2 linked regions of the Caenorhabditis elegans genome follow. The protein of the gene in region 1 interacts with the protein of each later gene in a biochemical or structural test. Each region holds a gene or a part of one and is shown in the gene's direction. Other genes may lie near its edges.

The links.
Region 2: of the proteins of jmjd-3.1 (region 1) and his-3, one has a biochemical effect on the other in vitro, tested with the Caenorhabditis elegans proteins (one study listed by BioGRID).

The regions. Positions count from the first base shown.
Region 1 is NC_003284.9:8,569,259-8,575,602, forward strand, and holds jmjd-3.1 (Lysine-specific demethylase jmjd-3.1), read left to right. Parts: upstream 1-1,790; 5' UTR 1,791-1,815; coding exon 1,816-1,864; intron 1,865-2,136; coding exon 2,137-2,700; intron 2,701-2,840; coding exon 2,841-3,011; intron 3,012-3,064; coding exon 3,065-3,459; intron 3,460-3,506; coding exon 3,507-3,737; intron 3,738-3,788; coding exon 3,789-4,500; intron 4,501-4,546; coding exon 4,547-4,722; intron 4,723-4,779; coding exon 4,780-5,372; intron 5,373-5,432; coding exon 5,433-5,633; intron 5,634-5,684; coding exon 5,685-5,778; downstream 5,779-6,344. UniProt on the Caenorhabditis elegans protein: Histone demethylase that specifically demethylates trimethylated 'Lys-27' of histone H3, a mark associated with transcriptional repression, thereby playing a central role in the histone code.
Region 2 is NC_003283.11:16,038,912-16,041,771, forward strand, and holds his-3 (Histone H2A), read left to right. Parts: upstream 1-1,896; coding exon 1,897-2,280; downstream 2,281-2,860. Other genes in the region: his-4 (Histone H2B 2), read right to left, coding at 1,233-1,604. UniProt on the Caenorhabditis elegans protein: Core component of nucleosome. Nucleosomes wrap and compact DNA into chromatin, limiting DNA accessibility to the cellular machineries which require DNA as a template.

The DNA.
Region 1 (6,344 bases):
TTTTTTGCGCTCTCTACATCGCTCTTGGTGGTCCCATCTCTTCCCCTCTTCAATTCATGTGCTCTTTCGCAAAGTGCTCCTAAGCCTTCTACTCTCGCTTTCACTCGTCCACAATGGCGGTCAACTCGGTCGATGGAAGCAGGCCACACACACACACACACACTCACACATACAACCGCCTTCTGCTAGCCCGTTGCAATTTATTGCGTTCATCCGTTTTTCTTCCCATTTTTTTGAATCAAACATCAAATAGGCCAACCAATGAAAAGGGACGGTAAAAATTCACTGCTTTATGAGCTAATATATTTTATCACCCCGTTTGTTTTGCGCACCGCGCCAAAGAATGAGTCGCACAATTTAATGATAGGCATTCAATTTTTGGCTACGTTTACAATACCGTATATCGCATACTTTTATGCAGATAATTTCATAAAGTAAAGCAAATCATTGAAATTCTCCATGCCATGTTGAAAATAGCTTTGAGCAAACTAGTAGGAGAAAGTAGGAAAACGTACTATGTTGCGAAAATAATTAATCTTAACTATTTTTATCTTGATTAGTTTGATCAAAAACGTATATGTTGTACACTAAAAGAAGCTACTTAGTTTCATATGTTAGACCAAAAAAGCGGTGTACTTTTTTCAATTTCACACACGTGTTGTTTCAAATTGTTTTATTTTTGATTCAAAAGAACCTAGCAAATTTCAGTTTTATTGTCTAATTAATGTTCAAAAGTAGATTTGTGAATGTATTGCAATGACAACATGACATATACATTAAATATTGGGCAGGCCACATCTTATTAGTCCCTTCACTCTTTCTTCTCACGAGCTTAGTTATTTACTCGACTGGAGCCAAATAGATTGCGTGTTCGGCCGTGTTGCGTTCTTTTCACACGTGGCTAGTCTCAATATATCTAACCAACAAGCAAGCAGAGAAGCAACGTCTCGTTCTTTATTTTTCCTCGAGCGCCGTTCCTCGTTTGATATTTATTTACGTGCGTGTGCACAACGCACAGCCATCTATAGCTAGTCAGTGTATGCCCCGTCAACAACAAAAACAAAACGAAAAAAAAACCACGCTATCTTTTCTACCTCCTCGTTTGACGTCGTTCGTCCATACTTCATTCATTGACATCGTGGGATGGGCAGTAAACAAAACTACTGTAAATGCTAGTTTACTATTTTGTTGTATTTTGTATTCTAGTTGTGTTTCTTTTCTAAAATTAACCCTAGACAAAAATGAAATGGCAGCTGGATTAACCAATAATACTGTGAATGCATAGATAATGCCAAAGTTCATGAAAAGGGCAGATATATGTACTTTAAGTTATGTAAAGATCCGGGAATGTCTACAAATGTGCACGTACTCTCTATTAATAGTTTGATGGGATTCTAAATTTGAGATTTAATCAAACTAAAATGTTTGCTTTTTCGATCTGCTTTTATCACTTCAACTCAAGCTTTAAAAAATTATTCAGAGCCTGGCAATGTTCTCACCTACGCATCGTGTTTCCTGCTTATCTCCTCATGATTAACTTGATTCAATAAATGGATTTGACCTGGTTTATACATGTGTATTTGAGTAAACTTAAACCCTTATTTTAGATTGGCACCTTTTCAGTTACATCTTAATTATCTACGTCATTATCATTGAAGTGCCTAACTAGAACTTCGGCTTTCTCACGTGCCTAATTAAATTCTTACAAATTTTTTGTCCGAACTGTTTTCTTTTTTTTTCAATAATCGCTTCTTGGATCTACCTACCCACCTATAAACTCATATTTACAGTTTGTTCCCCAGCATTTACCATCGTATGCAAGGGAAAAATTCACACTTGACTGGAATAACTGGAACTACACATTGTGAGTTACTTTGCATTTTTGCTATAGTGACCAGTTGGCGACCAAAAGTCGAACTGAAAAGATTAGTGCATTCATGCGAAAGTTCTACATAAGATTCAATTACATTAGTCATATTTTAATACGGATATGACTTTGATATTTAAAGATTAACAAGCAAGGTATCTAATTAATTAAGCACGAGTGCACGTTTCCGCAAATTTATACACCTAAAAACGCGGGCAGCATTCCTCTTTTCAATTTTTGCTACCTCATCTTATACTACTTATGTTTAGTTACTATTTTCGGAGCAAGCCCAAGAAGTATGTCATTGGTTAAAAACTCACAGGAAACTCCACCATTTCCCGGAATGAACTCCACCATGAGGCCAGTAGAATTCAACTCGACCAAGCAACCGGAAGCTCAGACTATTGATCAAGAGCAAGATGCTCCTAAAAGCTTTGATTTTAAAAATCAAACCCTTGGCGTGTATTCTGATACTGTGTTGAATCCACTCAAAAACGATAGTTTCAAGGATGAGCTGGTTGTAGATGTTCAGAAAAATCTTCCCATTGAATCGTTGACAGTATCTCCAAAGAGTTCTACTGACCAGAATTGCAGATCTACCAACGAGGCTATACGAATTGCAGGATTTGATAACTTTGCTGATCAGCTCCAAGAATCCAATGGCGTTTTCGAAGCATGCCCAGAGGCCCATTCAGAACAAGGAAATGAGAGTGAAGATTTTAAAGATTTGATCAATAGTGAAACTGAGTGCAACATTGAAGACGTTGTTCTCCCGACAGTACACGTTTCTACGGATTCTGAAGAAATCATTTCGGGCGATGTGATTATGAATGGTTAGTAGATTGTTTAAGTATAAAATATTTTTTTCATTCTTTGATGTAACTATGATTTTGATAGCTTTTGAAAAATTGAAACAAAATACATAGTTAAACTAATTTGGAAACATTCTAATACTTACTGGGAACATTTACAGACAGCAATGTAGTTTCAAAACCAAAAAATTTGGAAAAAGTCGAAACGCCTGATGTTCTCATTGGCAGTGGTTCAAACGACAAGCTCTCTGATATGACTGAACAAATTGGCAACAATCAGCATCTTGAAAAACTGATCTCGGAGAAAACTGAGAAATCACTCAGTGACAATGGTGAGAGCAACAGTTACCAGTTATTAATTTCTGAACGATAATATTTTTTTCAGAAACGACGTTGAAACCTGTGCCTGTGCAGCATACCAACAGTGTCGGAAGTTCGATTGGGACAACTTCTGGAGATTCAGAAATTTCTGACGATGACCAAAAATCATGGAGTCCTAAAAACGAATCGCTTGATTATCAACCTGCTTCTACTTCAAGCGAATTTACAGAAACAACCTCTGTGGCTAATCAAACGGAATCTAATGCAGGAAGTGTAGATGATTATTGCCCCCGCACGTCGATTGACATTGGATTGGACTCTTCCGCTCCTTCATGCTCTTCTGATGCAACAAGGGAGCCTACACCAATAAAAAAGCGTGGTCGAAAGAAGAAGGAACAATCTGCAACCGAACCCCCTATACCCAGGACGAAAAGAGCATATACTAAAAACCCAAATACGGTAAATTTCATAACTAATCTATTCTCAGTTTAATGCATAATTTACAGATCCGAAAACGCCGCATGAAAAAGAACCAATCTGACGATGAGGAAGATGATGGACCACCAAAAAGACGGACGATTAATTATCAAATTGAATTTCGTGATGCTTCTGGGGCTTGGACTATGGCTCAGCAGTTGATATTTGTTCGTGACTTCATGTCTAAAAAGAATGATAAAATAGTAAAACTGTCGAAATCAAGGCAAGACAGAGTTGACAAATTCATTCTTCAATTTCAAGTCAGTCCGCATTGAAAATTATTGTTAAAAAACCAAAAACTAATATTTCAGAAAACCCAAGATTCTCACTACATGCGTGCTGCCATTCAGCTGAATACAATTTTCCCGGATCAAGGAAACTATCGACATTGTCAGGATTATTTGAAAGATCTTACCATTCGTGTAGTAGTACCGCCAAAGCGAAGAGAAGGAAAACGAAAAAGTGAAGTTCCTGCCAATCCACCAGCCCTTTTGCTAACTGGACCATTATATCTCAACTTCTATTGTACATCACAAGAAGTCCTCGAAGCGGCAGGTCAATTACTCGAATTTCATGTCAACGCCGTTTACAAAGATGAACGACTACAGCCTCCGGTTGCCGATAAGACACTTTTGGATCTGGAAAGAGCGATGTATCACGAGCAAGTCAAAGATCTTACTGACTATCACAAATACCGCATACCATGTCCAACTCTCACAGTCACCACCAAAGAAGAAGTATTCTCGTCGGATTTTGAGCGCATTTTGAACTCAGCGAGCATCACCAACATTAGCGGAATCGCAAAGGCTCTGAACATCAAGACTGAACTGTTTTCACTGCCAGAAATTGCAAAGTGTCATCCTGAATTATCCATTGATATTCTTAACCAAGTACCACAAAGTGCCGATGGAAACTGTGATAGTAAAGGAATTCGTTGTTGGGATGTTACATCGTACTCTTCTAAGATGAAGCTGCAAGATTTCGAGAGGTACATGCAGAAGGAGGAGTCTGAAGCAATGCAAGGTAATATTGACTTTTGAACATAAGATTTTTAATCTTTGTTTTTAAGCTTTCGAAACGATTTCAAACTGCACAGCAAAAGAATTAGAGAGCACATGCCAGAAATTGAAAGCTGAGAGAATTGCAGCTCAAAACGCAATTGAGGGCTGTGATGAAACAATGCCTTGGATCAAGTTTGGAACAAATATCGACTTGCTTTCCGAAAATTTCAAGAAGCAGATGAATGTTAGTGATATTCTACATTTTTCAAAATAATTTATCTAATTCTCTATGTTCTTACAGGAAATCGAAAAGCTGCCGACGTTCCTGCTACCAAACCGTGAAGGAAACTTGCTCAACTACGCAGGAGTAGACGTTCTCGGCATCAATACTGTACAGATGTACGCGAAACCAATCGGATCACGCACTCCAGCACACATGGAAAACTCACTCATGGCTAGCATCAACTGGAACCGCGGTCCGGGAACGTGCGTCTGGTTTGCTGTGCCGTACGAGTATTGGGGGCAGCTGGAGTTTATGATTGGAGAGCACGGGCACAAGTACCAGGATCAAGACTATTGGCCAAGCGAAAAGGAATTACTGGAGCTGGGAGTTCCTGTAATTAAATTCGAGCAAAAAGCTGACGAGATGGTATATGTCAATACTGGATGTTTCCATTGGGTGCAGAGCAATAGCTTCTGCATCAATGTATCTTGGAATGTCGGACAGCCAAACTTCACTCAGCTGGCTACCTCAATAGTGGCTCACGATCACAATATGCTCATTGGGAACCAGGCGCATGTTCCATTGGTAAATCTCGTTTGGAATGCTGCACGTCAGAGGCTTTTCGTCGACGATCCCGAGATGTATAAAGCCATGCGCGGTGTCATGATCAGGTTAGTACATATGATAATAAAAATTTGCTATTTTCTAAACAATGCTCAATCTAATTTCAGATCACTTGCCCATTCAAAGTGGTACTTTGATCTTATTGATCATCATGACTACATTGTTGGAGACGCTAGCGAATGGAAGCTTGCTGATCGCGTTCAACGATGTAAATACTGTACATCTGAAATCTTCAACATTGTCAGATGGTACACCACAGAGGACTTATCAGTAGATTCGTACCCCTTCTGCTCTCATTGTCATGTAGCGTGAGTTTTATTCAGGATCAATGAATCATCAATGAACAGTGTGTTTTACAGAAACGAATACAAAAAGGACAGGTTCCTCAAGTACACATGGTTCTTTTCATTAGAAACATTGGTTAATATTTTTGATGCCTACGTTCCTAATTAAATATTTATCCAACAATGGTGCCTTCTAATATGTTTTCTAGGATTTTTCCTCAAATTTTAACGTTCTTTTATGATGTTCTATTAGTTTTTTACAGCGTTTAAATGCTGTTTTTCTGTATTTTTTTTCAATTTTCATTTTTAGCATTTGTTTTCCCGAAATCAACTTTCAAAATTTCCAACTCAAGCCTTTCTATCTCAATTACATCCCTAATTTCTTTCGAAGAAAAACGTACCTCGCCCCTTAATTATGATTCTTTCCATCAAATGGTCCCTGACTTCTCACGTTTATCCATCACACTCCTCGCTCTCGCTATCTCTGCAATTATCGGTGTATTTTATCAAAGAATGTTATTCAAAGAATGTTAAAAATATTGAAAATTAAATCATTTACTATATATAAAGCGCGTGTCCTTCTGTCCCTATGTAGTTTGATCTTTGATCTTTGGTCTTTGAACTCTGTAGTTTGTAGTCTCAATCACCTAAGAGGGGTCCTATAGCCCCGCCCCTTTTGTGACGTCATCACAAATTGGCGGGAAATTCAAATTTTCTGAGAAATCATTTTGGCGG
Region 2 (2,860 bases), on another chromosome or scaffold:
ATGTATGTACCTTACGCACAAAGTAAGAAAGTCTTTCAAAAAATCACCTAGCTTTTGTTGCAGAATATTATCTTTTAAATTTCCTAAAAGCTTTTGAAAAATTCAACCAGTTTCCTTTTTTTTGAAACTTTAAAGAATTTTCAGAAGAGCCTCAAAAATTTTCAAAACTGCAGTTTTTGAAATTGTCAAAACTTTCCAGATTTCTAATCGTTTCCGGGTTTCTAGAAAAAATTTCTCCAACTTTCCCATTGATTTCCAAGTGACTAATAGGCTTCAAATACTCCTGAAATTTCTGGGTTTGTTCAAACTTTTTCGAGTTTTCCAGAACATTCTCAATGGTTCTAAACATTTGTAGAGTTGACCAGAAGAAATTTCTAAAGATCTTTTAAAGATCCTAGCTAACTTTAGCAAATTCTTGAATGTTTCCAAACTTTCAAAAATGCTCCATTAATATAGGATTCTCTATTTTCAGAAATTTTCAGAAATTTCTCAGTGTTTTCAGAAGTTTGTATTACATTTTGAAGAGTTAAGGAAATTTTCAGAAATCAAAGAACTCGAAAGAACAAATCTGTCCCATTTTTGATAGCTCGATCGAACCCAAAAATTTGAACGGGTTTTTAAATACACATAGGATCACTTGAAATATCCAGAATCGCGATTGTGAATTTCCAGTGATGTACGAAGTAGGTTTCCGGAATTTTAAAAGTACAATGCTGCAAAGTTTAGAATGTATTTATATTTTTAAATATTCTTATTCTAACAACTGCACTTCTTTACGTCCCCATAGTTATAAAAATCTGGAAGCTTGATCATCGCACAAGTAGACAAGGTTTTAGGCAAACAGTTACAGTATTCGCGTTCAAGATTGCATGTTATATGTCAAACCCACTTTATATGAAACATTTACATTCAGATTATCATTCCAATTTTGTTAGTCAATTTTCTCTGGAGTAAAAACACACACAAGGGTGCAATTTTACGACTCTTTGAAAAACTAGGTGTTTTTATGAAACAAATTAATATTAAAATTATCTCCATAAAATAAAAATAAACAAACATTATTAAAAACAAAAAAATATTAAAAATTAAATTAAAAATTAATTTTAAAAACTATCCTCATATTCGTAAAAACTTTATTTCAGTTTAAAAACAGAAGAAAAATTGGATTTTTAAAAATGTGGCCCTAAAGAGGGCCGTTGGGTTCGGTTAGATTGCTTTCAGCAATTGAATGCTTACTTGCTGGAGGTGTACTTGGTGACAGCCTTGGTTCCCTCAGAGACGGCGTGCTTGGCAAGCTCTCCTGGCAGAATCAAACGGACGGCAGTTTGAATTTCGCGAGAAGAGATGGTGGATCTCTTGTTGTAGTGAGCAAGACGAGATGCCTCAGCAGCGATACGCTCGAAGACGTCGTTGACGAAAGAGTTCATGATAGACATAGCCTTGGAAGAGACTCCAGTGTCTGGATGAACCTGCTTGAGTACACGGTAGATGTACACAGAGTAGGATTCTTTACGGGCATGACGTCTCTTCTTTCCGTCCTTTGGCTTGGTGACGGTCTTGGCGGCTTTCTTTGCTCCTTTAGCAGACGGCTTTGGTGGGGCCATTTCGATTGATTGGACTGGTCGTTGGACAAGTGTAAAGAATGGGTTGATGGCCATTTCCTTTATAATAATTCATCGGTGGGAAGGAGGAGCCTATGGACATACTGCGGGGACACATTTCTATGTAGTCTCCCCAGCCGAATACGCAGAGTGCACAGTTTTTCTCGGTCACTCTGCCACCTCCTCCACCTGCCTTGTGTCTATGTGCCCGCCTAGTCACCGCAGTTGTGTTTAAAAGAGTGTGGTCTAATGGTCTCCTTCAGATCGTTTTTACATCTACCAACCAATCATCACCATGTCTGGACGCGGAAAGGGAGGCAAAGCCAAGACCGGAGGAAAGGCCAAGTCCCGCTCATCAAGAGCCGGACTCCAATTCCCAGTTGGTCGTCTTCACCGTATTCTCCGTAAAGGAAACTACGCTCAACGTGTTGGAGCCGGAGCCCCAGTTTACCTGGCTGCCGTTCTTGAGTACCTCGCTGCTGAGGTTCTCGAGTTGGCTGGAAACGCTGCCCGTGATAACAAGAAGACCAGAATTGCCCCAAGACATCTCCAACTGGCCGTCCGTAACGATGAGGAGTTGAACAAACTGTTGGCTGGAGTAACCATCGCCCAAGGAGGAGTTCTTCCAAATATCCAAGCTGTTCTTTTGCCGAAGAAAACCGGAGGAGACAAGGAATAGATGCCTTCTTAAAACATTTTACCGAACCCAACGGCCCTCTTTAGGGCCACAAATATTTAAAATCCTCTATTGAACATGAATAAAAATTATTTTTATCAATGGTTTTTGCACGTACTTTATTATAAATTGAAAATCGTTTGCAAAGAAGAAACTTCTTTTTGGATTTGGTTGATTCACAAAACGATTCGTAATTATTTTCTTCTGTCTTACAAATGTTAATTAAAATTGGACGAGGTCATTCCAAATTCAAATAAATTGGCGCCAAATTCAAAGTTGTCATTGAATGTGACCTTGTTGAACAATATGATTTTAGAGAGGTTTTCCTGGTTGAGTATTTGAATACACGTGGTTGCAAATTCCTTAGAAACAAAGATATAGTGACGTCACAATACCTACAATTGTTTGGACCTGGATCTGACTCAGATAGGCAATTGATGACGTCATTAATGACACTTTCTGTGAGGACAGTAAAACATTTTGATATTATAAAAATATACTAAATTGTATGGCTCTAAAGTTTCCTGGTTTTGTTCTTTTTTTTTAATAAGTTAAAAAATAATGAATAATTTATTCAAATTGG